Neurospora crassa OR74A: one gene and its partners. The main gene of each other region encodes a partner of the protein of the gene in region 4 in a complex. Links are inferred from orthologs where the notes say so. Each region holds a gene or a part of one and is shown on either strand. Other genes may lie near its edges. The genes, in order: NCU06469, NCU04336, NCU02757, NCU07560, NCU08552, NCU17114 and NCU06768.

Region 1 (3,914 bases), about 2.8 Mb from region 4:
ATATTCAATTCGACAACCGCATCGTCAACCGCACTAGTTTGTTGGGATTTACTGCGAGAGCTCTGAATGTCTTCACGTCTAGAATCCTCGTGTAGGCTGAGGAACGCATAGTCGGCTTCGCGCCCGTCGAGCTCTGCGACAAGGCTGGTATCTTTGGGTATGTGCTTTTCGAGGAGGGCTTCGATCTTGACATCGGCGGCATTATGAAGCTGGCAGAAGATTCGGACGGCAAGATATCGGACGATGGGGTTCTCGTGTGCGAACAGGGTCTGTATTTGGGATGGCTTTGACAGGCCGGCGTAGGTGCGCTTGTCAAAGTTGTTGAGCCTCCAGAGGGCTAGGAGGACAATTGGGAGGTCATCTGGGCGGATCGAAGCTAGGTCAAGGGAATCGAGAGGTTTAAGTTTTGAAGAAGCATCATTGTCGTTGCTTTTGTCGTTGTGGTTACCACCATTAACACCACCAAAAGATCCTCCTCGAAGATGCGACACGAGGAAGACGGACAGCGACGGGGCGAAGGGCAAGATCCTTGCGAAAGCGGCAAGGACTCGCGTATCGAGTTTTGGAGAAGACAGAATCCATCTGGCGCAAATATCGGCAAAAACAGACTCGAAATGGGTAAAGATGCGGTCGGTGGCTGTCGAGACAAGAGCGGCGCTGGCGATCGCATCGAGGAATTTGGTCGATTGGTGATCCTGGATTATGAGCAGCAACTCTGGCGGCAAGAGGTCCAAGGTGGTCGCATCGCTAAGGAGCGACGCCCTCTGCTGGCTCACATCGATCACGGCCATCATGGCCAGGGAAAAGCGACGGGACGGGTTGGCGTGGATGTCGTCGTCGTCGTCGTCGTCGTCGTTGTGAAAAACGGTGATGTTTTTCTTAGTCTCTTTTTTTTTTTTATCTCTAACTTTTTTGCCCATTGAACTTCGCTTTCTCCCGTTTGGAACTTTTTCCCACATGAAATTCCTTATCGCGCTGAACGATAGTGCGGGGTACATGCTACTTAGCGCTAGGCGCATGTGCTGGGGTGTACTGCATAGTACTCTACATAGTGTAGTGTAAGTCGGCTGCGGCAGGCAAGGGAGCCATCTTCTTCAAAAGTGGAACCTAGTTCCGGGTGGGACGAACAGCCCAGCGGCAGCAGGGGCGCGCTTGGGATGACAGGGGCCCATCCTTTAGCGCGTCTTCAGTGGACTTCAAGGTACAGAGGTACCTAATCCCCAGACTCGCGCGGGGCAGGCAGCTTGGGTTTTCCCCTCCAGCTGCAGCTCCGGGTCAGCCAGCCGTCATAGATCCAACTTGCACGCCCAAACCACCAAGCTGCCAACTGCCAGTAGTGGGTCCCAGATTTCGCAGCACCCGGGAGCGCGCGACAACGTCCCCAAAAAAATATCTCCGTTTAGTTGTTGTACGGTTCGGTTGTACGATCCTCGAAGTCGACGTCGACGGCAAGCCTCCCTCACCAAAAAAAGAGAACCCCAATCCGACCGCCCCCGCGCGCCCTCTCTCTTTCCTTCCTCCGGTCCGAGTCCGACTCCCCTCTCTCCATCCATCCATCCACACAACCCACCACCACCAACACACACACATACCAACAATGTCTCTCTCGGTTCGCTTCGCCGCGCAATGCGCCGCCCGCCAGCTCCGCGCATCCACCCGGGCCTCGAGCTCCCTCCTCGTCCAGAAGCGCTTCGAGTCCACCGCCGCCCCTGCCGCCAACCCCAAGATCGCCGCCATTGTTGACCAGATCAGCACCCTGACTCTCCTCGAGACCTCGGAGCTTGTGTCCAGCCTCAAGGTACGCCCGATTTAAATAAAGCACGAGAAGAAGAACAACCGGGGCCGGGAACCGGGACACACAAAACCCGAATCGGAGCATGTTTCAAGGTTTCCGGATGTTTTTGCGCCCCGGACCCGACCCGACCCGACCCGGCCCGGCCCCGGACAGACAGACAGACAGACAGACCTATCTTATACTACCTAGACTCTCAAGTCGCACACATGTACATGGGCACCAACACTAACACTCACTCTCTCTCTCTCTCTCTTCTTTTACACAAAACAGTCCCGCCTCAACATCCCCGATCTCCCCGTCGGTGGTTTCGCCGCTGCCGCCCCCGCCGCTGCCCCCGCCGCCGCTCCCGCTGAGGAGGAGGAGGCCGCCCCTGCCGCTGCCGAGAAGACGCTGTTCACGCTCAAGCTCGAGAAGTTCGACGCCGCCGCCAAGCCCAAGGTCATCAAGGAGGTCAAGAACCTGCTCGGCCTCTCCCTAGTAGAGTCCAAGAAGTTCGTCGAGAGCGCGCCCAAGGTCATGAAGGAGTCGGTACCAAAGGAGGATGCCGAGAAGATTGTCGCCGCCATGAAGGAGCTCGGCGCCACCGTCACCATGGACTAAACTGCTGCTTCTGCCTAGTAAAAGGGTTGGTTGCTATGGTTATGGTCTCTGTGTGGTGGTGTGGTGGGTGGAGGCGCCGTGTGTGTGTGTGTGTATGTGTGTTGTTGTTTTGTAGGATGGTCACGTCCCTCCCCCGCAGAAAAAGAACCAAACGAGGAGATCTTTTCCTGACACAGATGCCGGAAAGATATTTTCTTTTTTTTTTCCTATAATGATGATCATGACGGGACAGAGTTGGAAGAAATGCCAGGGCCTTGGGAAACACATAAAGGGGGATTCTCGGTCTCATCTACATTATATCCTCATGGGGAAAGGGGGGGAGTGGCGGACACAGATTCCTCACAACAACATATACCACTTGTACGTGTACAAAAAGCAATGAAACATGTAACATTATATCATACTACGAGAACTGGGATGGATAGAAGAACGGGTTGTCAGCGAAAACATGAGAGTCTGTCGACGATATTACCGTGAGCAGATGCCGCTTCTGAGTTAATAGTATCTCCCCACTTTCGCTTATGGATACCGAAGATAACTAAACAGCCAAAAACATAAACGCCATCCCATGCATACCCCATGTATCGGTAACTTCCTTGTTTCTTATTCTCAACCTCCTTCTCCTTGCCTCCTTCAATTTTCTTCTTTCTATCGCACTCCTACCAGCGCGCCTCTTGTATCCACCACCCGTGTCATTCCTACTGGTCTTGAATTCCCAGGTTCTCTTCTCCTCCGTCGGTTTCCTAACCCGAAGTCATCTCCACATCTTTATCTTGCTTCTCCTGTTGCTCCTTTTCCAGCTGCTGCAGCTGCTTCCTCCTCGCCATCTCGGCAATCTCCCCACTAATCGACATTGGCTTTTCCTTCATGTTATTCCCATTCATACCATCATCCCTCTCACCCCCGTTACTGGTAGAGGTAGTATGCCCACACCCCGCACCACCACTCCCTCCAATCCCTCCAATCCCCGCCTGCAAACTCCTCTCCCACTCCTCCTGCTCTTCCCATATCGCCCTCATGTCGTCATCCCCCAACTCTGACGTCTCCTCCAGCAATCTATCCAGCTCGTCTCCGCTCGGCACCGCCCAGATGTTCTCCCTCAGCCTCTTATGCCGCTCACGATCCTCCTCGATACGTTGCTCAACTTGTTTCTTGTCGAGACGAGGGGCGGCAGTGTTGACGCCTCCGCCGCGTTTGCTCAAATTGCTATGCTGTTGGTTGCTAGAGGAAGGTCCGCCGGCGGCATTGGTGGCGTTGGTGCTGGTGGGGAGGGTACCTGCTGCTGCTGTGGAAGAAGATGGAGGAAAAGGAGGAGGGTAGGAGGAAGAGTGGATGGCGGTTTGCGAGGGGGGCATGTTGGTATCGTATCCCGATGCTGCTGCTGAAAGGTTGTTGTTGTTGTTGGCAGAAGGGGAGAGGACGAGGTCCCCTTGGGAGGAAACGTAGGATTCGCCGCGTTCGCGGAGGACTTCAAAGATGTCGGTTAGGATGGTGGCGTCGAGAAAGGATTTGGCGTGGA
Region 2 (3,695 bases), on a different chromosome or scaffold from region 4:
GTCGGTGCCAAACAGTGTTGTGCCGGATGTACCAATCTTGAAGCCAGGCGCTGTCCTCTTGATGGTCACGTTGACAATCGACCTTTCATCGTTCAACGACTTGATAGTGTACGAGTTTCCATCTTCCGAAAGCTCGACGGCGCAATCGGTGGCGTAGAAGCTGGTCTTGTCCTCGCTGAACTCGTGGTTGTTGAGGGGCGTAGAGCACCAGAGGTGGGGCTTGGATCCATCCAGGGAGAAGACCTTGCAGTTAAACTGGCAAGTCGTGCGGATGCCACTGTTGTGCCATCAGGTCAATACAAGGCCCAAGTTTGCGAGCGCGCCACATTGACGGCGAATCGTGCAATGGGGAATCTTACGCAACGTTAGAGTAGATGACCTGGGCAAAGGCGAGCTGGCCGCTGTCCGTCATGAAGTAGAAGCACTGCGTCTCGACGCAAGTGGACTCCATGGCCTGCCACTTCAGGTCATCCTTGGTGGTTTCGGTATAGGGAGTTGTCTTGGCCTCCTCGGCGACAGACCTGATAGCCTCGGGGCCGTAGATAGGCTCCTTGGTGCCGGCGACATTGGCCAACCTACAAGCGAGTCGTTAGAGGTCTGCGTCCAGCGGATGGTGGGGGTGGTGCTTGGAGTACTCACGCCGCTTGCGCCCACTTGAACATGATGAAAGACTGGGGGGGGGGGGTATAGGGCGAAATGGGAAGAGTATAGATTACAGAAGCAAAAAGTCAAGACAACGAGGCGAAAATGAGTCTAGTTGTGAGAATTTTCCAGGTAGTTTGATGTTCAAGATTAAAGTCATTCACCGCCGTCGAGAAAGATGGGGCAGAGCTGAGATGGCGCCGCGCTCAGATAAAAGCCAATGGAAAACAGAAGGGGCAACCCAGTCTGTCCCAAATCTCCTACAAGTACGTACCTTTGGGCTTCCCCGCGGCCGACTGCCTCTAGCCGTGGCCCTCGATGCGTGGCAGTCGAGCAGCAAAGAAGACTCACTGGCTCTTGAAGGTGCACGTCACTGTTCCGCCCAACTCTCCACATCACCTGAGGACTTGACGATCGATTGGACCCTTTCAGGTTCCTACAGCGGGTCTGCAATCACTTGGAGCGTTCAGGTTTCGCAATGCTGTGTTCCCTTGCAGACTTGCAGCAGCTCGAACGCACCTTTGCGGCAGGGCAGGCGGCAGGCAATGACGGGAATGATCAATCCAAGTCACGCCCGGTACCCGTACTACGCCCCCACTTTTTTGGGACTCGCAAATTCGCACCCACCTAAGTGGGTGCTTACGAATAACACGGCCACACCACTAAAACGGCCACCAGGGTTAGAGGTGCGAATCAGATAAACGATACCAAAATAGTGAACGCCCACAACGTATTTCAACAACTAATTGAGAATAAAGAAAGAGTTAGAAGATAGTCAGGACAGAGTAATGTATCCGTTCAGCTTTTCATTTTTCAGAAATTTCTATATGTTGGGAAGTTGTGCTTTACCCTACGAATCGAGCCTCAAAACTGCACCTCTAACCCTGACCTGGCCGTTTTACTGGTGTGGCCGTAGTACCCGTGAGCACCCACTTTAGGGGGTGCGAGTTCTACGAGGTCCAAAAAAGTGGGGGCGTAGTACGGGTAGGAGAGCAATTGGGGACGAGCGAGGCCGGGACTTTCAGTTGACGGGCGGGCTCGGCGTCGATGCTGTACTAGTACTACTGTAAGCCACTAACGGCACTGAAAAGCGGCGATAAGGGACTGATTGCGGCACTTTACACTAAATAGTGTGTGGCTGAGGCTTTGAAGAAGTGGCTGACGTGACCCTGGCTGCAACGGTTGCCGGCCCGGCGCCCTGATTTTTTTTTGGGCCCAGCTTGAGGTGCCGCGCGCGGCGTCGCCGCCGCCGTTGCTGCCGCCGTCGCGAACGAGGATACCCGACCGACCTCGAAAGTGTAACACGCGACTGCAGACGCGCCGAATTACCGTTCCGTTCTCCTCCCAACTTAATTTCCCTCGAGGGTATCTGCAGTAGAGTCGCCAGAATGTCCAAGGCCGCAAAAGGTGGTGCTGGTGGTGTTGAGCAGGTGGTGAAGCTCATTGTCGGCGCCGGTCAGGCCAGCCCGAGTCCCCCGGTCGGTCCGGCCCTTGGTTCCAAGGGCATCAAGTCCATGGACTTTTGCAAGGTCGGTTTGCATGCGCCCACCCATATAATATCCACAACACAAGCTGACATGCGCTCAAATCTGTATAGGAGTTCAACGCCAGAACCGCCCATATCAACACCGGTACCCCTATGCCCGTCCGTGTTACCGTCAGGCCCGACCGCTCGTTCCACTTCGATGTCCGCACCCCTCACACATCATGGCTTCTGCTCAACGCCGCCGAGGCCCCGATAGGCAAGGGCGGCAAGAGAAAGGGCGCCAGCAACCCCGGCAAGGAGGTTGTCGGCACCGTCAGCCTCAAACATGTCTACGAGATTGCCAAGATCAAGCAGTCCGAGCTCCGTCTATCCGGCCTGCCCCTCGAGGGCCTCTGCAGGGCGGTCATCTACCAGGCCAGGTCGATCGGTATCAACGTTATCCCCTGAAAGAGGCTATACGCTGAAAGACATTATACGGGCTTGGGGGCACGAAGGCGTTACGGTTGTTTCTTTTAGGTGGATAGACCACGGCATTGTTACCAATATTGGATGCGGACTATAGCCATAGCTTGTGGCTCTGTGTATCTTTGCTTGTATCATTATTGTATGGCAAAATCTCAAAATGCACAGCGGTGCCTGGAGCTGTTGGTTGGTCCACGGAGTATGATCGTTTGGGAAAGGCTTCCACAAAAGGGTGCTGATGGCAGGCATGGCATATATGGGCATTTGCCGGTTTGCGTTTGCATTGCCTCAACGTACTCCAGCTTCGTCAACCTTGGCTCACATAGCTTGTGTTTGTGGAACACGCAGGCGTATGACGAGGATCTGTCTCTGTAGGATTAAGTTTTAAGGTTGGCGGTCACCAAGGTAGACCGCCCAACGGGTATTATGCTTACCTGAATGTAGGTGAGATGTGTTTATAATGCTTTTGGCTAAGCTGACTGCAAGACAAATCACACACATATATAAAAAGGGGTTTTGTAAACAAACATCCGCTTCGCCCAAGTGCTTATCCACCAGCCCACTTCTTACCACTCAGGCGAAGCCCCGGTATCATGTCGCCATGGTGTTCATCTCATGCTTTCAATACTAACGAGATGAAATGGATGATTGTTTAATATCCTACACGTGTGCAACGATTGCAATTACATTCAATGGCTTCTAGAACCATTCGGGCAATTACCTCCCGCAGCATGGCGGGGTATCGACATGGGTTACACCGAACCGAGCGATAAGGACCTGGTTTTCGGCGGTAGAGATCGACATAGAAAGCTGTTTACCATATCCGTTGGCAGTCCATCGAAAAAAAAGGTTGGGTGACATCAGGACAGTCACTGGAGACAAAGCTGACCACCAACACCACCTAGACTTGTCATCCATGCCTTTGCGGTGCCTCGGTCTTTCGGACACGGCGGCGCTCTAAAAGGCCGCTTTGACGGTGGTCGGGGCTGCTGCGGGATTCATACTTGACTCTCTGTTGTTCAGTTGAAACGCAGGGCAACGAGGATGACAGCCAAGGACGCAAGGCACAACCGGCTGAGGTGTTCACTCGAGTCATTGGGTGAAC
Region 3 (4,504 bases), on a different chromosome or scaffold from region 4:
TGCATTCCGCTTACCGACAGTGCGAGCGGCAGTGGCGGCGGTGGTTGTCGAAATCGTCGTCTTTTTGGTCTGCATGGTTTTCGCGGGCATGGACAATTCGTCGACATGGAGAGTGGCCGCCTTGGCCCTCGTCATACGTGTCGTGGTTGCTGTACTGTTCTCGTCATTTTCGTTCGCGAGTGAACGCGGGTTCCTCGTCCGCTGCAGGGTTGGGGTTGAGTTAGTACAAACATAGCATGGCTGTGGACAACCAATTGCATGATTGAACGACAATGCCAACTGTGCAGTAAAACTTACAAGATTCGGCATTCTCGCCTAAACCTATGCTGGCACAGAAATTGATGTGAAATGTGTCTACTGACGGGGAGGTCAGCTAGCTATTTGGATGTTTCGTTTTTGGCGAAGTTCGAGGTGGAGAGACTGGTTCTTATTGAAAGACCGATCCCTGTCACGGAGGGAGGGTTGACGCGAACGACGAGCGAACGACGAGGGAATTGTGAACACGGACAGTCAATGAGACTAGACGCACCGACTACAGAGCCCAAAGATGTCGGGAAGAATGAACACCGGCGGTCGGCAGTGATGTCGCTGTCGGCACGTTGTTGAAGCCGGAGATCAACCCTGGGTCCCGCAACAGAAGGTTGGCTGAGACCGTGAAGGATGTGCTGTTGTTGATCGGGAATGTTGCCCAATTGGTGACGACGGTCGGGGCAAAGCACGCAATGGCGACGTCCGGAAAGATTGACTGATCGAGGCCAAGGGTTGCCGTCGTGATGGCAAGGCCTTGCGAGTCCAGGTGATGCGGAGTGGGAATGCTAGTTGGCGGACGGGAAAGGGAGGTATGATGTTTACGAGGCAGAGAAGAATGGGAGTCTTGTTTTTGCGAGGTCTTGGTGGAGGTGCCAGTGCCAGTGCAGCCCAGTGGATGGGGCTGGAGTGCCAGTGGACGGAGCGGGCGTGTGGACACCCACCCAGGTACCGGATCGGACGTGCTGGGACTGGGGCAAAGTACCTCTAGTGCCCTTCGAGGTCACTAGTGCAGCGAGGCTTTGAAGCTTTGAAGTCCAAGACACCGGAAAGGGAACAAAATTACCACAACAAGTGATGACGCGCCGTGCAATATGGGCTTCTGTCAGACGCACGTCTTGCTGTTCCCTGCCTTGCTAAGTTGTCGAATGATGAGGATGCCGTTGTCGAATAAGCAAGTCGAAAAGGTTGTACTGCCGAAGAAATGCAGGCTTCAATGGCCGGAGTCGAAAGTTGCTGTTGTTGCTGTAGCTGAAAGTCGATTGTCGTGCGTCCAGGGAAATGGTTGTTAGTCGGATGGTGAGTGTCGAGTTGCAGAATCCGGAGTCGAGAAAGCGGCCAGGAAATTGTACTTGGGCCGGGCGCTGTTATGGAGCACTGCAAGCAGAAGGGACAAAGAAGGGTCGCACCTCAAACACGCAGTGAAGGAACTGAAGGCGGCAAGGCCACCACAGGCCACGTCCCTCCCTTGCTGTCATCCGCCCGCCGTCAGGGCAACACTGGCAACCGCAGGGCAATTCGGTCAAATCAGCTTCTGATTGGTTTAAACTGTCCAACAGGCTGCGCGTGTCCAGCAGCTGTCAACACTAAGGTACCTTACCTATCCTGGGTCAGACGCGACTGGAACCTTGGGCGGGCAGGAATGGAGCACGATGCACGCTCTTTCCCCGCGCCGCACTGCACCTTCACGCGGTGATGACTTGGTGCCTTCCTCCCGCGCCCGCGTTTTGGAGCGCTGTTTGCAGCACTTGTCCCCTGGAAAGAAACAAGGCTCTTCACCAAAGGGCAGTGGCTGCACCACACAAGCCACACTATTAGCAGCCACAATCGTCAGGGATCGCAAACCAATGCACGGCTGTGATTGGCGCATCAGCCGAGCAATTTTCCACAAGCAGTTATCGACGACAAGCCGGCGACGAGAACCTCGACGAGCAGCCTGCGAGGACGTCGCATTCCGGTTGCTGGAAATCGCAGCAACTGTCCCCTCCAGCACCCTCACCTCCCCAGAGCTCACCGCCAGGAGCTTGGGATATCCGACAGCGATCGAGCAGCCATGCTGCAGCCTCAATTCCGACCCCTCCTTGCGGGGACAGCTTCCTTTGCCCAAACCGTGCTGGGCCGCACCGTCGCCAGATGCTATGCCACCAAGGCCGCCACACAATCAGCAAGCAGCACCAGCACCAGCAACACCAGCAAAGATGCCAAAGCCAAGATCGTCACTCCCTACGTCCGGGACGCCGGCATGATGAGAACCTACAAGCCGCACACGCCCGGTATCCGTCACTTGAAGCGCCCGATCAACGACCACCTGTGGAAGGGCCGGCCGTATCTTCCTCTTACCTTTCCCAAGAAGGGTCAATCTAAGGGTGGCCGTAATCACAGTGGTCGCGTCACCGTCAGACATCGCGGTGGTGGTCACAAGCGAAGAATCCGCATGGTCGACTTTGAACGATGGATCCCCGGTCCGCACACAGTCCTGCGCATTGAGTACGATCCCGGTCGCAGCGCGCACATTGCGCTGGTGAAGGAAGAGGCCACAGGGAGGAAGAGCTATATTGTTGCGGCGGATGGTATGAGGGCTGGAGACGTTGTGCAGAGCTACCGGTCCGGTCTTCCCCAGGACCTGCTCGATTCTATGGGTGGTGTCGTTGATCCTGGTATTCTGGCTGCGAGGACATGCTGGAGAGGCAACTGCTTGCCTGTGTCCATGATTCCGGTTGGAACCCAGATCTATTGCGTTGGCTCCCGTCCGGATGGCAAGGCTGTTTTCTGCCGCAGTGCCGGAACATATGCAACCATTATTTCCAAAGAGGAGGAGACCCGTGAGGATGGTACAAAGGTTATGACGGGCAAGTTCGTCAACGTAAGACTGCAGAGCGGAGAAATCAGAAGGGTCAGCAAGGACGCTTGCGCCACCGTTGGTATTGCCAGCAACATTATGCATCACTACAGACAACTGGGCAAGGCCGGTAGAAGCCGTTGGCTCAACATTAGGCCTACTGTGAGAGGTTTGGCGATGAACGCAAGTGAGTAGACTCCCAGAACAATCCGTTTGTCAAGCGAGCAAAACCAACTAACGGCCTGGTAGATGACCATCCTCACGGTGGTGGTCGTGGTAAGTCGAAGGGTAATAGGCACCCTGTTTCTCCTTGGGGTACACCTGTAAGTCATGCCCCTTTATTTCCTTCCTTCCTCTGAACAGACGCCTTACCCTCTTTTTCTGTAGGCCAAAGGTGGTTACAAGACTCGCAGAAAGTCCAACGTCAACAAGTGGGTGGTTACCCCCCGGGTCCGCAACATGGGAGTCCGGAGGAACAAGAAGACTACATGAATAAAATAACCCACTGTGCTCAACTTGGGCTATATACCCACCATCTTGTACAATATGTAGTGAAACTTATTCATTTGCTCGCAGGCCGGCAGTTCGAGGGCTCAGTATATCACCGGAAGGATGCCATGTGTGGGTATTGGGCCCAATAACATCGTCTGTTGGAGATCTGCCGTGTTTGTCTTTGTTTTCCACTTTCAACTGAGCAACTCTACGGCGATGTGGTTCAGGGCCCGGCCAAGGCCGTGACTGTGCCTATAAATCGGCATACGACTTCAGGAATGTACCAAAGACTACACATGGGGTTTGTTAGACTCCGTTGTCATATACCGACCCCAACTTAACAAATTTTTTATTGATTTATTTACTTATAAAATTTGTTTAATTTTCCTAAAAAAATTAAAAAATTTTTTTTTCCCTTTTTTTTTTTTTTTTTTTTTTTTTTTTTTTTTTTTTTTTTTTTTTTTTTGCGTTGATTATAGACAACAGACTACAATGAAAGAAACTGAAGGCGTTTGGTCATTGGAGTCGGTCGAGTTGTCCAATCACATTTTGCGTTCATCTCTTCTGCAAGGAGCAGAATAACAATGCCGTCCCCCTTCGCCCTTTCAGATCTGCTACCGGTTCTGTGAACGCCATCCTGAAAAAAAAAAAAAAATAGGGGCGTAAATAGCCGCGTGGGTAGACCTGAGCGCAGCGAGATTTATATGCATTCCAGCGGTGGTATCTTTACAGTGGTTGACTGTGTAAGGGCATATCACGACAGCGTCTCGGTATGCGCCCGCAATTCGGCCATACATACAACGCCATGAAGGAACGAGGGTCGACAAAAGGCAAGCATAGTCTCATCTCCATAGAGGTATACCACAAGATCAACGGGGGTGATGAGTACACTATTTGAAGCGTCTCTTCGGTGGTTTGGGCAGAGTTTAAGGTTTACGCCATTCTTTTAGTGTACATACTATTTCACAACGTTTCGCTCGTTCAGGGCAGTCCCCTTTGTACTTCTGGAGATTGAATGGGATCGATGGAATCGGTAGTTGTACATTAACTAGTAAGGAAAACTGAGTGCGCCACCATGTCTGGTACCTCACGACCCCGACAGGTCGGCACAATAAATATATACCTAGGTACCTAGGGTACATCGTA
Region 4 (4,628 bases):
GATCTTTTCAATGAACAGACATGACTTTTTTTTTTTTTTTTTTGTTGCATTTTGGTCATCGTTAAGGAACTTGGACTATGTAGTGTAGTCCACTGTTTCCGGCATTGCGCAAGGTGTGCTGAACAAGTCGGTTGATAACGTGATGACTGCTCATTCTATTCTTGTTCATCTTTTTTTGATATTCCACTAACTTGTCCATCCATTCTGATACGTAGCCTAGTAAAGATTTGGAAAGCTTGTCCGAACGCTAGCAAGGAGGCAGGTCTGATAATTCTATGAGATGAAGCACGCATATGTATATCGTGATCAGCGACATGGATGGTGGAAATGAATATTCTGAGCTGGGCAGTATGTGCATTGCGGCGTAGCTGAGACTTCAGTAGATGTGGCCGTGCTTGATCGCGACATTGACCGGAGTGACGACAAGCAAGTGTCGGGGATGGAGAACGATCCATGAATGATCTCAGGAAGGTTCATATCCAAAGTCAAGGAATGAATCGACAGGACACCAAGCAGCCAGACAAGACGCGTGCCACAAAAACGAGGCTTGAGAAATTCGAGACGGGGAAGCATTTCACGAAGTGGCAAGAATAACACTTTCAAAGAAACCAGCCCCATCTTGACTTTCATCTAGCGAAGTCTCCTCACACGTAGTGTACATGCCATGGAGAAGGAGACTGACTGACCAGACTGACTGGGCCAAGCTCATTTCTCAGAAAGAGCAAACACACACACACACACACAAGACAGTCTGCAGTATTATTACATACATACAATGCAAAACCGTCACGAGAGTTCGCAGGAGAAAAATATGTAAGCAGATTCTATCTAACAGCAACCCGGTAGAGCGTTTATAGGCAGGTACCGCTAGCGAATTCGTCTGCTCATGGTGGTTCCTCTCGGCACGGACTAAATGATCAGGACAGTTTTGGAGGAAGAGAAACGTCGTGATGATAAGGAATGGTGCCTTGAAGAAAGAAAAAAAAGAAGAAGAAGAAGGAAGAAGAGAAGGGGAGGGGGGATTGGTGGCAGTTTTATTGCAGCAGTTCAGTTCAAAAGTTTGCTGGACCCGCTTCGGTCAGGTGAGTGGTCATGTGGGGTCGTAGGAGCCGTGAACCTAACTGAGGACGTGAAAGTTATGGTGGGGTAGGTAGCGGGGGGGATTGGTTTTGGAGAAGAAAAAGGGAAGCTTTCGAAAAGGGAAGGCGGTGAAGGAAAGTAAATCGGTTGCCAAGACTCAATTGTTCAATCGCGACCAGGAACGAAACGAGCAGGGAGGGGACCTGACTGATCGGTGCGCGGCGGCAGCGCGGCAGGCGGGAGGGCCCCAGGGAAAGAGTGGGGCTGCGGACATCGAAAAAGTTCACGGCCGGTTTCCCGCGCTGTGTGTCGCCCGTCCGTCCGCTCTGCCCTGCCTGCCTGCCCGCCCGCCCGCCCGCCGCAGCGACCGACCGACCGACCCCGTCCCGCATCCACCCCGAGACTTGCGAGAGAGAGAGAGAGAGTTGCGTTGAGGATTGGCGCGCGCGCAAGATTCACCCGTCCTCCCTCCCTCTCCCCGTCCCGTGTCCCGTTGTCTACACACCCGGGCCCCGTTCAACAACCAAGTCATATATACTGCCCATCATGTCGGCGTCGAGTAGGGGAGCTGCTCTCCTTAGGAGTATGGACCACTTTTTCTTTATCTTCTTTTCGTATCGTCAACTCGTTACGAATTGGTGTTTTCCATGCATGGCTTCCGATCGCAAACTTTAAGCTTAAAGACACCATAACTAACCCGTCGCAATCTGTTCTTTCTCTTCCTTCCAGGCCAACAACGGTCCATCTGCCTACAATGCCGCAACCAAACCCGAGTACTTGCGCCCGCCGGCGTCACCAGCGCACCTAGACGTTTCTACTCCGCCGAGGCCTCTGCCACTGCCACTGCCACTGCCACTGCCACGACCACAACAACACTACCCCCTCCTCACCCGCCCGTCACCACATCAACAGGCACCCACGCCGCCACCTCGACCTCGTCGCAAATCTACCGCATCAAGTCGGGCGTGATCCTGACCCGCCCCCCGCTGCTGACGCGCGACCTCACCCCCTTTGAAGAATCCTTTTACTTTTACCAGAAGCGCCTCAACGAGCGGCTGACGGCCCCCTTCCGCAAGGACTTTTACTTCAAGAAGGACACGGCCGCCGACCTGGACTGGCGCATCAAGCTGAAGGAGCGCCACGGCGTGCCCGCCAAGGACATTGGTCGGTACAACCCGCGCGGCCGGATGGCGTGGAACGACGAGGTGCTGGTGGGGTCGCAGACGTCGTCGAGAAAGCACATGGTGGAGAAATTGCTTGCCGACGCGGAGATGCGCGTGTCGGAGGATGGCGAGGAGATCCCCGCCGAGGACCGGGTCCCCGTCGAGAAGCCGATGCCGAGACGGACGGAGGCGGATGAGAAAGGGGATGTCAAGCGGTTGGATCGCGCGCTGGACAAGACGCTTTATCTGGTAGTCAAAAAGAAGGCGGACAAGGAAGGCGAGGAGGCCAAGTGGATGTTCCCTACGGGCGTGGTGCCTACGGATGAGGGGTTGCATGAGGTTCGTTATATTCCCTTTTTCCCCAACCCAACTTCCAACCATTTTCCAAAACTCGCGGCCAACTAACCTTTGATGATGACGATAAACAGACCGCAGCCCGCATCCTCGCCGAGTCCGCAGGCGTCAACATGAACACGTGGATCGTCGGCCGCGTGCCCGTAGCCCACCACGTCGTCCGCCCCGTCTTCGGCCAGAAGGACGGCGCCCTGCTCAAGAAGGGCGAGAAGATCTTCTTCCTCAAGGGCCGCATCATGGCCGGCCAGGCCGACCTGACCGACAACCTGCATGATCTGGTCGACTTCAAGTGGCTCACGCAGGAGGAGCTGCGCAGCACGTTGGCGGAGGAGTACTTCCACAGCGTCAAGGGCATGTTTGCTGAGAGGTGAACAACACAACACAACAACACCCTATGTAGCCTGGTCTGGTGAAGTGAAGTATGGAAGAACAAGGTTGGAGAGGTGATGATGAGTCGATGGTCGAAGTCGGTGAGACTACACCATTATCTTCCGGGGAAATAGAATGGGGAAGTGCAGTGGGTGGCGGAAGAAGAAGAAGAGAGAAGCATGTGTACAAATGTATTGATATCAAAAGATGGTTTTAGTCGGTCGGTGGCAAGGTACAATTGTTGTTTATGCGCTGAGTAGACCTGGACCGCCCCCTAGCCGAACACAATCAAAGGTCTCGAGGAAGAGAATCAGAGATGGTTTGGAACTTGACTTGACAGTTCAAAGGCCTCGCACGCCTCAGCGTACTTGACCAGGCCGAAGCCAAGCTCGCATGCCATGTCTGCAAGAAGCGGGCGAAGGCTGACATGAAGCACAGGGACGAGAGAGGGTGTTGTTTGTAATGTAAAAACATATGCTGTGTATAGAGATTTGGGATGAAGATGTCATACAGGATGCGAGATGGTTGGTGAATACTACCAGACATCCGCTGGGTTGGTCATACCGCTATCTGAGGTGAAGTCTGATACTAACATACACAAACAAGACAGACTGAGCTAATCACATATCTGTGACCCGATTCTGCATTAGAGACGTGGATAGGTATGGCAGTGACCTCTTCAAGATCCAGCCTTGATCAATGATGAACACCGGTTCTCCCGGCTTGAGACACACAGTCAAAGCTTGTGCCAGCCGCAGACCAAAGCAACGGTACTTTTGAGCTGGTTGAAAGTCCACACCACGGCGGCCTGTAGGATATCTTCACACGTCTCCTACGCCTCCATCAGGACATCCTCCTTGATCATCCATATAAGGCCGTTGGCTTACACCTCTAGCTGGGACACTTCTCGCGCGCGTACCAGTGGTGTACTCCTCCATTCCTCGTACATCATTAACAAATTACTTGTTGGCATTACCACACCACACACAAGTCAAGTCTCAAATCTCCACCCATCTGAAAAGCAATCTGAATAACACACAAATCGTGCCCAAAGCCCACACAAAAAGGAGCTCATACAGGAGGTCCCGATGATCATCCTAGAGATTCCGAATCCGGGACTTTCTGAGCGGAATCGAAGTGGTGAGCGCCAAAACTTCACCGTGGTCAAGGACCAATTTGTTTCCAAACTTTTCCCAGAAAACTGCCTCCCACGGGGGGAGACGATGAACCTCAGGTGCCTCCTGCTTCTCTTCCTCCTCCTCCTCCTCCTCATCACTGCCGTCACCGAAAACACTGGGCGGGGTGTCAACCATGCTTCCAGTCATACCAGAAGCGACAGAAGAACAAATACTTGACCGACGACTGATAATGCTGTTGGGCGCAAAGGGATTGAGCGTGAAGAAAAGCTTGCTTGGTTTTACCGTCTTCATTCTCATGCTCCCGCACGTCTTCTCGGGCCGAGTCTTGCTCAGCCACTGCTCCTTCTGCAGCTTCTTAGCTGCAACCTTGAGGAATGCGAGGTTGGAATACCAGCCGTAAAGACCGTGTTCTTCAGCCATCTTGTTCTGGTATTCGAATCCTCGTACTGGTGTGACCCCGGGTCCTCCCTCTTCCTCTGCGGCAGAGATGAACTCAATTGAAGGCTTGTGCCCGTGGAACGAG
Region 5 (3,890 bases), about 590 kb from region 4:
TAGCATAGCACAGCGCATACCCAAAAGTCTCCGTCCGTCTGGTGGCGGGGTCTGGTCCGCGAGGCGATGACCTGGATTTGGCTTGTTCTTGTCATTTGCTCTGGCTTGCATCGAGACTAATCTCTTCTTTTTCTTCTTTCGTTTGCTATCTAGCTCCCAAGAGCCATCAAGGAATGCCCTGCCTGCCACCACCCGGAAGCTGTCTTCTTCCAGTCACAGCAGCGTACTTCGGAAACCGGAATGGTAAGACTCACTCACCTGCCTGGGAGGGGCTCACCAGAGTCATGGGTTAACAACGTTACTTTCAGAAACTTTTCTACGTCTGCTGCGATTGTGGTAATATTTACCAGTAGTGGGGGATTCACTCTTCACTCGGAAGGAATAGGGCCAGATCGATCCTTGTTATAGGCGGACAGGCGGGCGGTCGGAAAAAATCACAGGTTGATTAATAAAGATCAGGGGGTCATGATGAGTTGCATTACAGTGGCGTTTGTACACGGTTAACTCAAAAGGACCGCGGTTTAGGGCGTTTGGTTTTCTTTTTCATGCTTTGGCAGGACACTGGTTTAGAAATGGTCTTTCCATGAATCTCGTGGATAACGTTATAAACTGTTTCGTGTGATATGCAATGGTGATGTTGTTTTGCTTGACATGACATGTAATGTACAGTAGTATACACAGATTAGGACGGCACGCTTGATGTCCCGAACTGAAGTGACTGGTAAACCTAATCGACTGATGTGACGGCTGCTGCTGGCTGATCGTTACCCAAAATGGCGCTTGAAGAAAGGCCGTTCGATGAGACCATATTTTGGTGTGATGTCCGGTGTGTGAAGCCGTCGTACCTTGAGAACAACGTCGCAGTCTCAAACCCGTATACGCCAGGCCATCCCAAGTCCATCCTGGAAATCCGTAGACACACAAACCACAGTTCCGTCAGATATCAACAAAGTGATGTTCCGTAGCGCTCATCGTCAGTCATTACCTCAACACAGCCAACCCAAGCTGAGCCGACACCCAAACCCCCCACGAGAGTCACCAAGTCACCGCAATGACACATCCCACCGAGCATACTCCTCTTCACTTCAAGGAGCGTCACGCCACATCCCACCCCAACAAACTCAACTCTTTTTCTTTACGGGTATTCATATTTCATTCCATCTTGATTCTCCCGCTACATCCATCGTACATATATCCTCCCTGATCGATCAATCAAGCCTAGCTAAGCCTGCATAGGCGCCATACTCAATATCTTGCTCCACTTTTTCTTTCGCAGTTCCTGGCCCACCACACCATTGATGCGCGATCCGATCGGGTCGCCGGCCTTGTTGATCAAGACACAGGCGTTGTCGTCGAACCGGACGACCGAACCGTCGCGGCGCTGGACTTTTTGCTTGGTGCGCACTACCACGGCGTGGCGGATGTCGCCGCGCTTCACCTTGGTGGCGGCCGAAGAGGCGGCCATGCCGGCCGAGTCGGCGCCGCGCTGTTTTTGGACGACTACTACTATGCGGTCGCCTTTCTTCTGTTAGTTGAGGTATGAGGAGGGGAAAGAAGGGGGGAAAGAAGGGGGAGGGGGACAAGAGGGGGGAAAGAAGGGGGAGGGAGGAACAAGAGGGGCAAGAGGCAAGTATGATATGTGTATAAGACCAGATGTTCCTTGGTCGGACGAGAAGAATCGGACGGGATGGGACGGGTATGAACGGCGACGACGGTGTTGGTGTTGGGGTACGAAAGAGGGATCGGGTAGTTCGTGTAGATATGATATGCTCGAGTCGACGATGGGTTCGTGGGTGTATAACGGAAATCGAAAGGGAATTCGAAAGCATACCAATCGAAGCATGCCTCTTTTGGCCGACAACCATGGCGCATTCCACCAGGGCAGCACCCGAGTTGTCGATGCAGTTGAGCATCGTCTGTTTGCAGTTCGCATGGTTCGTTAGCAACCAAACTCTTTTTGCTTTCGTTCGACAGCAAGGGAAGAAGAAAAAAAAACAAACCTTTAGTTGAATCATCTTGGGCAACCGGTTACTCTGTCCCTGTTACCGAGCGAGTAGTGGCTGAAGTTAGTTGGCTGTCGAGAGGACCGAAACCCGGCAACTGAATGGGGATTCCACGGTTGACGCCGCGTATCGATCGATTGATTGATTGATTGATGACCGGCCGGCCGGCTGCTGTCCGTCGTGCCCGCCGGACGCGGGGACCCCATCGAAAATTGTTTGCGGGACGGGGATGCCAGGTTAGAGGTACGTACCCTGCATTAGGTAAGCAGGCTCCTAAGTAACGCGAGAAAAGAGAGAAGAAGGGGACGCGCCAAAACTTGGACGAAGAGTGTGGAGCCAGTCGGGAGGGGTGTCTCATGCATGCTCTTTACATAGCTGCTTTTTTGACTACACTAACGCTTTCGGGAAGTAGCTGTAGTTGAAGCTCTGAAAGTGTGAGAGTCTGAGGCATCAGCAACAGAACATGTGAGGACTCAATGACCGTAGTTGATGTTAAGAAGAGTTTAACAATGAGCACATTTTATGAGAAGTCATTATTGGACAATGAACTGTTGAATCGTCTGTATTTGTCAAGGAAGATAATGAGTGCGGCCATTCTGGACACAATCAGACAGCTAGCCCGGGCATGTACCATCTCAAGTCAGCTTGCAAACAGCTTGTCATAGTATCTCTACCCGACGACTCCAGAGGCAAGTTAGACAGCGATATACATACAGTACCCATCTCTGAAAGCGTACCCCAGATGATCGTTGAGACTCAAGTCGTCCATTGCTAGCAACATCCCCATCTGGTTAGAAACATTCCATCAGCCCTGACCCAAACCACCAATGACAACCTCGGCGCAACCAAGCTCCAGCCAGGATGGTGTCTCCCACTCTCCCCCAAGTCCCCGCTCCCCCGTCGGCTGATTCTCCAATTGTGTCTTTCGGAATTTGGCTAGACCACCGCTACCACGGCAACAGGTGGGATCGTGAAAAGAGGAGTAAAGAGGCGAAGATTTGCAATGCCGGGCCCCCTTTTGTTTTGTTTCTGCTCGTCCCCTTTTTCCCTGTTCTCCAATCGATTTGAGCAGTTTTACCTTGAGCTTCAGCTTATTCTCACCTCAGCTTCACTGCCACCAAACGGTTTGTTGCTGTTCTTCCTGTTACAGCTCCAGGTAAAATAGCAAGGCCCTCAAACAAGGCTATTGCCTCATATCCCTGCAGCCAAAAGCAAGAAGCCCGCACCACCTTGCAGTTTCCTCGCACTTTCACACTTGAGTTCAGGAATTCATAGACAGACAACAAGTACAAGAATACATATGACGGCAACCCGCCTCGCCGGACCACTCCAACTCCATTTCCCCCCGAGTCCGACCAACCACCAACAAGACTCGGACCGCAAAAGGACCCTCACCCAAGCTTGACCTCCATCCCCAGTCATTCCCACTCAGCTCTTCAGCTTTCTCAAGGGTTCGGCCGCCCGCCCGCCCTTCTTTGCAACCTCATTCGCGACCACGTCCTTGTCCTCCCGTCAACCACCACCCACAACAACAACAAGTCTGTCCCTTTCGATCAAAGCTGCAGCTTCAGCTTGAATTTCAATACTTTGTGACCTTGGCTGTCACCACTACCACCACCACCATCACTTGACTGCGCCTGTCATTGTCAGCCACTGTCGAGTCGCATTGGCTGCACTTGGCTTCGTTGCAGACACACATCGTGAGACCTGAGGCCGAGAGAGTGCACTATTCATTCACTTTGCGGTCAGCTTCAGCTCTCAATTGCTGACGGAAACAAGAGTGTGCCTTTGTTCGCTCCTTCGCCGATTCGACACTTACAGTATTGATCTGACCACTTCCTTTGGCGCATATCGCATCCGCTCTTTCTGTTTGCAGACGTCGACCGG
Region 6 (3,858 bases), on a different chromosome or scaffold from region 4:
ACATTGGGGAATGGGAAAGTGAAGGCAGATGGACAGCTGCGGTTTAAGCAGGTGCCAAGACCGTTGCAACGGAGAGAGTTGCAAACGCGGGGAAAGAAAGTTGGGGAAGTTCGGGACAAGAGGAAGCAACGGTACGTTCGGGAAGGTGAAAGCGACGCAATAAAGCACATCGATCCGCGTCGGTCGGACGAGAAACTCGCGCCGCTTTGGCGAATGGCAAGGGTTTGGTGATCCTTACCTCCGCATGTCGCCGGACCCCACGCCGACTGCTGAACAGGGATTGAATAATTTCTCACGGCCGCGCTCGGCAGCCGGTGACGGGCGGTCTTGAGGGCGTTTGACAGTCCGGCAGCCATCGATGCGATTGTCGATCTCTTTCTGATGAAGTGTACGTATTGATGGATGAGGGGAGGAGGGTCTCGATACTGCCGGGTGGGGGGGGACAGGACTCCCGGAGATGCCGTCAAAGGTGAACGGGAGAAGAACTTGTCGTTGATGGTGCGCTGACTCGCTCCGAGAGTACCGAGAGGACGGGATGTGATTTAGGGCTGAGTCCAGTTTATGTCAGTTGGGTTGGGTTTTCAAACCGCATTCGACACAGCAGACGCAAAGACACTATGAATGGGGGGGGGGGGGGGGGGGGGGAAAGATAGCACGCAGAAGAACACACGAACTTTTTTTTTTTTTTCTTTTTTTCATCAAATGTAGCAACCCAAACTGAACTAATGAGCTCCGAAACAGGAGCACGGAAAGCGGTGTGGTCTAGAACTTTTTGTTACAAAAGAGTCTTCGTTCCGGTCCGGTTTTGCTCCCGCGATCCATTTCTGGCGGGGTCGCAGAGGTCCGAATCGAGACTACAGTCTTGGTACAGTATGGAGAGTCAATCAAACAAATGCCATATTCTGATTCGGACTGCTATCCGCCAGACGAGGCGGTATCGCTGAGCTGTTTCGTAGCCGCCAAGATAAGCTGCTGCTGTGCTGTGCTGCCTGACAAGCCAACGTTAAATCCGGGCCGTTGTATTCTACCTCTAGAGGTAGCTGCGGCATGTGTAGGACCAGTGGACTATATCTAGTATCCAGGAACTATCCTTTTCGTCGACTTACACAGTTCCCTTCCAGCGCCTTGTTGGCGGGACGGGCATGATTACAGCCACAGTGCTGTCAACGGTCACCATGTTGAAATTACGGTACACAAATATCAAATTTATGTTCTTGAATACATCTCTCTCAGTGTACAAGCCCAGCAAAGGTGTTGATGTTGTCAATAAATTTGTGTGAGATGTTCTGATAGATATCACGCCCGTTGTGTTTTGGCCAAGGCCTCTGGGGTTCCTCGGTGAGCTCTCAGCTCACTACACTCAGCTTGTTCCTCACCTTGCCTTCACCGATCCTACAAGTACACTAAACCGCGGGCAGCCACCTGCCAAGCCCAGCTAGGAGCGCACACGACCCACCCACAGCCCCACCACGGCCCACGCACCCCCGGCGGGCCGGCAGGCAAAATCTACAATCGCAATCGCAAGAAGCGCGGACGACCCGACGTCGATTGGAGAGCTTCCGGCGCAAAGACCGTGCTCCGTGAATCCGCCCGCCCTCCGCCCGCAGTTTGCGAACCTCTCCGTCCGGACGAGCCCCAGCCCGTCGCCCGTCGCCGTACCGCACTTGATCCAGTCCAGTCCAGGCGCGCCGTTGCACACCACAACAGCGCAACAAAAGTCGTTCAACATGGCGAAGAAGGGTAATCGACTCCATCCTCACCCGTGTGTCTGCAATTACTGCTTTGTTTTCCTAAAGGGAAAAGCGATGCAATGGGGAAACCGGAAACCGAAAACAGAAGACGATAGTTGCTGATAGGTAAACAACAAACAGCCAAGTCCCGCATCATTAACGTGCGCCTGATCTCAATGGCCATGACGGGTTATTTCTACACCTTCACCCGTCCCCGTACCTCGCTGCCTATGAGCATGCTGAAATACGATCCGATCGGTATGCGCATATCCTCTCCCCTCATTCCTATCTACCTCTTTCGCTTCCAACCACCTACATGATTGATTCGGCGGACACGACGACACGGGCATGATATGGAACTCTTTTTGGTTGCGGGCTTTCTCGATTTGCACGATTCGAAACACCCCAATACGCTTCGTCGAACGGACCTTGGGAAGCTCGCTTGGGACTGGGACTAGGACTGGGATCAGGCTGGGACGCAACAGTTCAAAGACTCGGACGATGGCATAACGTACGGACCTTCGAGAAAAGAAAAAAAAAAAAGCAACCAGCCAACCAACCGGCCAACAGAGAAGAGAGGAGGGGACGGAAGAAACACTTGCCTACGACAGACAATTTTTCCCAATCACGGATCTCGAAGAGGAAGGAATACCTACTAACCCTTTCGCCTCTCCACCATAGTTCGCCGCAAGGTCCTCTTCCTCGAACAGAAACGCAAGGGCAGGTCATAGATCGTTACTCGCCCCCGGGCCTAACGACCGTCGAACGACCGAGAGCCAGAGCGAGAACGCGGAGCCTGCGATACGGAATCAAAGAGCGTAGCGGCGAAGCAGCGACAAGTAAAAAGCTACAGCACCCCCTCCACGGATTACCACGTCACACCAAGTTACGATTTCGACCGGGTTGTGTTTCAAGCAGATCACCAGCAGACAATGGCCAGTGCTGGCGAGTGAGTTGGAGCTGGAGCTGGAGAGGGGGGTGGACCGGACCGGAACTGGACTGGATATATGGAGAAGAGAGGCGCAAGAATAAGATGGGGTCCCTCGTTCCATCCAGTCTCTGGTCGTGTATTATTACTGTACCACCGATCCATCAGTATATAACATCACCCTGTGAGTTATGGATTGGCACCATGGAGCGTTTGTTGCTTCTTCGCTCTACCGATGGGCCAGGTTGATTAGAGAATGTACAAGTCAAGAGATAAGCACAACGCCCCTCGGCCGTCGGCAATGCTGGGCGTGACCCAGGTTCACTGCCAAGTGGCTCTCCCTTCTCTTGTGTTGTGTGGTAAGGATAACTCTTCTATCGCGATCAGACAGTCTGTCATGACACCTCGACATCTTTGACTTTTCTTGCCATCGTACATCGCTTTATCTCATCTTTCTATATTTTCGTGGAAATCAAACTTTTCATTAGTCACAAGACCCGTCTCCCAACATTTTACAGGCGTTCTTTCACACTCTTCTCGTCGTATACATATTGAATCTCAATTCATTCGAAACACAGTCTCCAATCCACACAAATACGCCATGCATCGACATATGGATCATAACTTATTCCCAGGCGGAGGCAGAGGCAAGTCATCTCCGTCTTCTTTGTTTGCATTCTGCGAGAGGGTCATGGAGTCTTGGGTCTCATCATTGGCGCCCCCGTATCGCGAAAGTGGCTGGGACTGAGACCGTGATTGGGACTCGCCGTTCGTTTGACTGACCGAGTTGGTGTTTTCCGCAGGATCAACGGACCTTCTACTGCCATAAGTTCGAGTCGGTGCTGATCTGGGTGGCAAAAACCTGTTGGCACCGTTCATGACCTCGGGTAGGAGGCCAAATGAAGGCTTGAAGTTGATGGAAATCAATCCGTTTTCAGAAGGCTCAGAGCCTTCGCTCAACTTATCCAGGGCGTGACGGCTTCGGTAAATCCGTTGTGGTCGTACTATTCCGCGAGTTCCACGTTCATCTGAGCCGTTAGGAAGCGATGCTGAAGCTGGGGTAGAAGTAATGTCTTTGGTCGTACCCTTTCCCCCGGCCCCTTTCGAGTATCTCCCGCGCCGAAGAACTACAGGAGAATCCACGATATCATCAGGTTGTTTCCGCTTGTTAGGTCTTCCTGAAGCAGAGGCATCTGAAAA
Region 7 (3,866 bases), on a different chromosome or scaffold from region 4:
CCATGGGGGGTGGACCCGCATTGCCAGCTCCGGCGGCCTTGGTCTTCCAGTCAAACTTGACGTTGGGGTCTTTGGGAGGAGCATCTGGTGCTTCAATTGTGGGAATATTGTCGAGGATCTTCTTGACGTCCTCGGGTTCTTCAACCGCCGCATCCTTCTTTGCCCTTGGCGCACGGGGCTTAGCGGGGGCTCCCTTCTTCTTCGCTGGCTTGACTTCTTCTTCCTCTTCGTCTTCCTCGTCACTTATAACAACCGAGGATTTCCGCTTCCCTGCCGTAGTAGTTGTAGATTTCTTGTTCGGCTTGCTGGGTCCAGGCTTGACGTCTTCGTCGTCAGACTCGGCTACGGCTGCTGTTTTGGCGCGAGATGCCATTCGCTTGGGCTTGGGGAGGAGCTCCTCGTCACTGTCCTCCTCGGCATAGTCGTCGTCCTTTTTCCTCTTGCTGCCACCCTTGAATTCCGCCGCAAATATGTCCTCTCCAGCATCGTGCTCATCATCCATGTAGGCATCGCCATCGTCATCCTTGTCGTAACTCTTGTAGGCCGTCGTGGGTTTCTTCGTAGTCGAGGTCTTCTTTGTAGTAGTCTTGGGAGGCTCTGGTGCTTTGGCAGCGGGGGTGGCTTTCTTCCGCGGGCTTGTTCGAAGCGCTACTTTTGGTTCTTCTGGCTCGGGTTTTGCGGGTGTCTTTTTCGGTGTTGACTGGGACGCAGCAGCAGTTTTTGTTTTTGAGGTTGCAAAGTACTTGGCAGCATCGGTTTCAACTCCTTTTACGGGTTCCCTAGATAGTCTGTCAGCAGGAATAGGATGACATGGAACTGAGAGGTGTTTCATAAACACTTACGCTACTTTCTTCTTTGGCGCAGCCTTGGTTGGCTTTTTGACTCTACACATGCTGGTTAGATGCTAGTTCTGAGAAGAGATGCTTTTCACTAAGCTTACTCAACAACCTCGTCATCTTCGCTGTCCTCAACAACCTTTCTTGGCCCTGCGACAAGATTGTTAATATAACGTGATAAGCTTGTGATGGCGATCATGGTTCAAGCTTACTACCCCGGGTCTTCTTCTCCTCTTCCTTCTTGGGTGCTGGTGTTGCCGGCTTAGCAGGCGGCGCGCCACCTTTTGGACCAAAAAACGAGCGAATGTCGGCAGGCATGATGGAGTATGTGAGAAGAAATCACTGGATACAAAATGATAAATTGAATGTGTCAAAAGGTTGGGAAGATGTAACAATCAGATGACACCAGCAAGCATCTTCTTATAGTGGCGGAGTTGGGAAGTAGGGACTTTTGTTCTTGGTGTCTGAGTTGTCCAGGCAGCTGTCCTTCTGCCTAACAAGTGTTGTTGAACAAAAGGCCTAGAAGGGTAAAGAGCTAACGGGTCGACTCTTGTCCCTTGTAAAGACGGAAGTAACAATTGAATGATGAGTGAGACGCGAAGGTGAAGTGGATGACGCGAGTCTGTGTCCGGGCTCTGCTCCCCTGTCGCGACTGGTGGGGCCTTGTCCTACAAGAATTCGCCAACTTGCTGCCTTGAGCTACGCCCACGCAGCTGTATTTCTTGTGAGGAGTCAATGAATGAGTCCCAGGTCCCGCTTGTCTGCTGTGTCCGGCAGATTCCATGTCGCGGCCGGCACCCGACACTTTTTGGTGGGTCACAATTTTTGGAAGTGCCGTCCGTGCCCCGTCCGCGCCCGCAGCACCTTCCATTGCAGGTAGTCGCTCTGCCCGGTCCCCGTCTCTGTGCGCGCGCTGCTTCGGGGAATCCGTATCAATCGTCGTCGGCGACCGGCATCCAATTGGACCCTCCCTCCGTCCTCCGTCCACCACTCGTCCCCTCCCCGGTCCGGTCCACACCCAAACCTTCAACACAATGAAGCACAACGCTTCCTCGGCGCTCCTCAGCGCCTTCCAGGGCCTTAGGATATCCTCGTCGGCGACTCCCTTCCGTGCCGCGTCGCTCGCAACCTCTGCCGTCCGTCGCCCCATTGCGCCGACCCCCGTTTCCGTCGCCTCCCATGTCCGCCTATTCTCTGCGACCGCCATCCAGGCTGGTTCGTGGCTCGAGCCCAACCTCAACAGAAAGAAGAAGATGATGAAGGGAAGGCCCAGAGTGCCGACGGGTGGTTCGACCAAAGGAACAACAGTGGTTTGGGGAGATTACGGCCTGCGCATGCGCGATCACCACCGCAGAATTAGCGCCCAACAGCTCAAGCTCGCCGAGGACACCATCAAGCAGAGGTTGCGTGGTCAGAAGTACCGCCTGTACAAGCGCGTTGCTTGTAACGTCGGTGTGTACGTCAGCGGTAACGAGGTGAGCAGCTGAACAACCCACAGCCCGGGAAGGCCGGATGCCGACTGTTAGCGGACATGAGGCTCACATGCATTTCCGGTGTAGATGCGTATGGGTAAGGGTAAGGGTTCGTTCGACCACTGGGCGACCAGAGTTGCCGTCAACCAGATTATCTTCGAGATCAGGGGGCAATTGCACGAACAGGTCATCCGTGATGCCTTCCGTTTGGCCGGACACAAGCTTCCAGGTAATAACAGCACATGCTGGCCCAAAATCTTTGCGAGGTTGAGAAGAGTAGAAAACTGACAAGTCATAGGTCTGTACGAGTTTGTGAAGAAGGGTGACCCACCAGTGGTTGGCATCACCAAGTTGGAGGATGGCCTCACGGTGGAGGACCTCAAGAACCCAAGGAAGAAGTTGTTGATGCCAGAGATTACCCAGAGTGCTGCGAGCACATCAAGCACTGCTGCTCCTCCTTCGTAGAGGTGGAGAACCCTGAGCCTATTCTAATTGTAACACTATGTAGAACAACAGAAGGGCCAATGTGCAAAAGAGTGTTGCCATGGCCATTTCATGATTATTATGACGACGTAACAAGCATCACCACTTTGATTTCAATGCTCTGAGAATGTGTCCGTAAGCTACTACCAGTTTACCTGGATGGGCCAGAGCACCACATCGAGTCAACAAGCAATGCTGGCTTCCTAGATATACCCTTTCAACCATGCCATGAAATGGGCCCTATACTAGATGTCGGTTCATGGAAGATCCAATATCCAGCATCGGACGTTGCAAAACTCAAAGAGATTCAAGATAGCTGCCTAGAATACTGATGGCGAAAGTGGGCAACTGTCTACCCCAGGGCCTGTATAAGCGGGTGATATGGTCCGTGCGGCCATCCCCCGTCATCTGTTAATTGATTTTCTGGACGGCGCGTCAACTCGACGCGTCTCCCATGCACCTCCAATCCAGCATTTCTTTCCCCTTCCGTTGTCAACCCATTTTCCTCTCCACAATATCACCACACCACGATGGCGCTTATTGTTGACAAGCACAGGCCGAGGTCTCTCGATGCCCTCACCTATCATACCGAATTGTCGGAGAGGTTACGGTCACTTGTAAGTAGACCCTCTTGTTCCCCTCGTGCAAAAGAAGCTCCCCGCTGATGACACTCCTAGGCGCAAAGCGGTGACTTTCCCCACCTCCTCGTCTACGGTCCTTCCGGCGCAGGAAAGAAGACGCGAATTGTTGCTACCCTCAAGGAGTTGTACGGCCCAGGTGTAGAGAAGATCAAGATCGACGCCCGTGTTTTCCAAACCAGCAGCAACCGCAAGCTCGAGTTCAACATTGTCGCATCAGTGTACCACCTCGAAATCACCCCGTCCGATGTCGGAAACTACGACCGAGTAGTGGTCCAGGACCTCCTCAAGGAGGTGGCGCAAACACAACAAGTAGATCTGTCGGCGAAGCAGAGGTTCAAGGTGGTGGTCATCAACGAGGCCGACCACCTCACCAGAGACGCCCAGGCCGCCCTCCGTCGGACCATGGAGAAATACTCGCCCAACCTGCGCCTCAT

Evidence for each region.
Region 1: NCU07560 (region 4) and NCU06469 share a complex: the UniProt entries of both Schizosaccharomyces pombe proteins name them as parts of the mitochondrial large ribosomal subunit. The link is inferred for Neurospora crassa OR74A from reciprocal best matches to the Schizosaccharomyces pombe genes mrpl17 and mrpl12.
Region 2: NCU07560 (region 4) and NCU04336 share a complex: the UniProt entries of both Schizosaccharomyces pombe proteins name them as parts of the mitochondrial large ribosomal subunit. The link is inferred for Neurospora crassa OR74A from reciprocal best matches to the Schizosaccharomyces pombe genes mrpl17 and mrpl19.
Region 3: NCU07560 (region 4) and NCU02757 share a complex: the UniProt entries of both Schizosaccharomyces pombe proteins name them as parts of the mitochondrial large ribosomal subunit. The link is inferred for Neurospora crassa OR74A from reciprocal best matches to the Schizosaccharomyces pombe genes mrpl17 and rml2.
Region 5: NCU07560 (region 4) and NCU08552 share a complex: the UniProt entries of both Schizosaccharomyces pombe proteins name them as parts of the mitochondrial large ribosomal subunit. The link is inferred for Neurospora crassa OR74A from reciprocal best matches to the Schizosaccharomyces pombe genes mrpl17 and mrpl38.
Region 6: NCU07560 (region 4) and NCU17114 share a complex: the UniProt entries of both Schizosaccharomyces pombe proteins name them as parts of the mitochondrial large ribosomal subunit. The link is inferred for Neurospora crassa OR74A from reciprocal best matches to the Schizosaccharomyces pombe genes mrpl17 and mrpl39.
Region 7: NCU07560 (region 4) and NCU06768 share a complex: the UniProt entries of both Schizosaccharomyces pombe proteins name them as parts of the mitochondrial large ribosomal subunit. The link is inferred for Neurospora crassa OR74A from reciprocal best matches to the Schizosaccharomyces pombe genes mrpl17 and mrpl16.

The regions. Positions count from the first base shown.
Region 1 is NC_026503.1:1,524,765-1,528,678, forward strand, and holds NCU06469 (putative mitochondrial 54S ribosomal protein MNP1), read left to right. Parts: upstream 1-1,379; 5' UTR 1,380-1,597; coding exon 1,598-1,798; intron 1,799-2,065; coding exon 2,066-2,395; 3' UTR 2,396-2,929; downstream 2,930-3,914. Other genes in the region: NCU06468 (midasin), read right to left, coding at 1-794; NCU06470 (hypothetical protein), read right to left, coding at 3,139-3,914. UniProt on the Schizosaccharomyces pombe protein: Component of the mitochondrial ribosome (mitoribosome), a dedicated translation machinery responsible for the synthesis of mitochondrial genome-encoded proteins, including at least some of the essential transmembrane subunits of the mitochondrial respiratory chain.
Region 2 is NC_026504.1:3,732,832-3,736,526, forward strand, and holds NCU04336 (mitochondrial 54S ribosomal protein YmL19), read left to right. Parts: upstream 1-1,861; 5' UTR 1,862-2,030; coding exon 2,031-2,171; intron 2,172-2,239; coding exon 2,240-2,575; 3' UTR 2,576-3,110; downstream 3,111-3,695. Other genes in the region: NCU04337 (survival factor 1), read right to left, coding at 1-277, 360-575, 640-662. UniProt on the Schizosaccharomyces pombe protein: Component of the mitochondrial ribosome (mitoribosome), a dedicated translation machinery responsible for the synthesis of mitochondrial genome-encoded proteins, including at least some of the essential transmembrane subunits of the mitochondrial respiratory chain.
Region 3 is NC_026501.1:3,455,140-3,459,643, reverse strand, and holds NCU02757 (mitochondrial 54S ribosomal protein RML2), read left to right. Parts: upstream 1-1,696; 5' UTR 1,697-2,080; coding exon 2,081-3,053; intron 3,054-3,115; coding exon 3,116-3,189; intron 3,190-3,253; coding exon 3,254-3,358; 3' UTR 3,359-3,727; downstream 3,728-4,504. Other genes in the region: NCU02758 (G2/mitotic-specific cyclin-B), read right to left, coding at 1-201, 298-309. UniProt on the Schizosaccharomyces pombe protein: Component of the mitochondrial ribosome (mitoribosome), a dedicated translation machinery responsible for the synthesis of mitochondrial genome-encoded proteins, including at least some of the essential transmembrane subunits of the mitochondrial respiratory chain.
Region 4 is NC_026503.1:4,356,747-4,361,374, forward strand, and holds NCU07560 (50S ribosomal subunit L30), read left to right. Parts: upstream 1-1,279; 5' UTR 1,280-1,626; coding exon 1,627-1,663; intron 1,664-1,809; coding exon 1,810-2,582; intron 2,583-2,671; coding exon 2,672-2,968; 3' UTR 2,969-3,533; downstream 3,534-4,628. Other genes in the region: NCU16690 (hypothetical protein), read right to left, coding at 307-630; NCU07559 (hypothetical protein), read right to left, coding at 4,064-4,628. UniProt on the Schizosaccharomyces pombe protein: Component of the mitochondrial ribosome (mitoribosome), a dedicated translation machinery responsible for the synthesis of mitochondrial genome-encoded proteins, including at least some of the essential transmembrane subunits of the mitochondrial respiratory chain.
Region 5 is NC_026503.1:4,951,231-4,955,120, forward strand, and holds NCU08552 (mitochondrial 54S ribosomal protein YmL38/YmL34), read right to left. Parts: upstream 2,313-3,890; 5' UTR 2,016-2,312; coding exon 2,001-2,015; intron 1,917-2,000; coding exon 1,832-1,916; intron 1,519-1,831; coding exon 1,223-1,518; 3' UTR 704-1,222; downstream 1-703. Other genes in the region: NCU08553 (DNA directed RNA polymerase II 15 kDa subunit), read left to right, coding at 154-243, 309-353. UniProt on the Schizosaccharomyces pombe protein: Component of the mitochondrial ribosome (mitoribosome), a dedicated translation machinery responsible for the synthesis of mitochondrial genome-encoded proteins, including at least some of the essential transmembrane subunits of the mitochondrial respiratory chain.
Region 6 is NC_026506.1:2,292,457-2,296,314, forward strand, and holds NCU17114 (hypothetical protein), read left to right. Parts: upstream 1-1,438; 5' UTR 1,439-1,727; coding exon 1,728-1,740; intron 1,741-1,871; coding exon 1,872-1,988; intron 1,989-2,411; coding exon 2,412-2,461; 3' UTR 2,462-2,967; downstream 2,968-3,858. Other genes in the region: ala (alanine aminotransferase), read right to left, coding at 239-356; NCU03974 (hypothetical protein), read right to left, coding at 3,277-3,858. UniProt on the Schizosaccharomyces pombe protein: Component of the mitochondrial ribosome (mitoribosome), a dedicated translation machinery responsible for the synthesis of mitochondrial genome-encoded proteins, including at least some of the essential transmembrane subunits of the mitochondrial respiratory chain.
Region 7 is NC_026502.1:2,002,969-2,006,834, reverse strand, and holds NCU06768 (mitochondrial 54S ribosomal protein YmL47), read left to right. Parts: upstream 1-1,634; 5' UTR 1,635-1,870; coding exon 1,871-2,311; intron 2,312-2,395; coding exon 2,396-2,537; intron 2,538-2,606; coding exon 2,607-2,773; 3' UTR 2,774-2,908; downstream 2,909-3,866. Other genes in the region: NCU06767 (replication factor C subunit 1), read right to left, coding at 1-779, 843-884, 941-986, 1,049-1,154; NCU06769 (activator 1 38 kDa subunit), read left to right, coding at 3,322-3,408, 3,469-3,866. UniProt on the Schizosaccharomyces pombe protein: Component of the mitochondrial ribosome (mitoribosome), a dedicated translation machinery responsible for the synthesis of mitochondrial genome-encoded proteins, including at least some of the essential transmembrane subunits of the mitochondrial respiratory chain.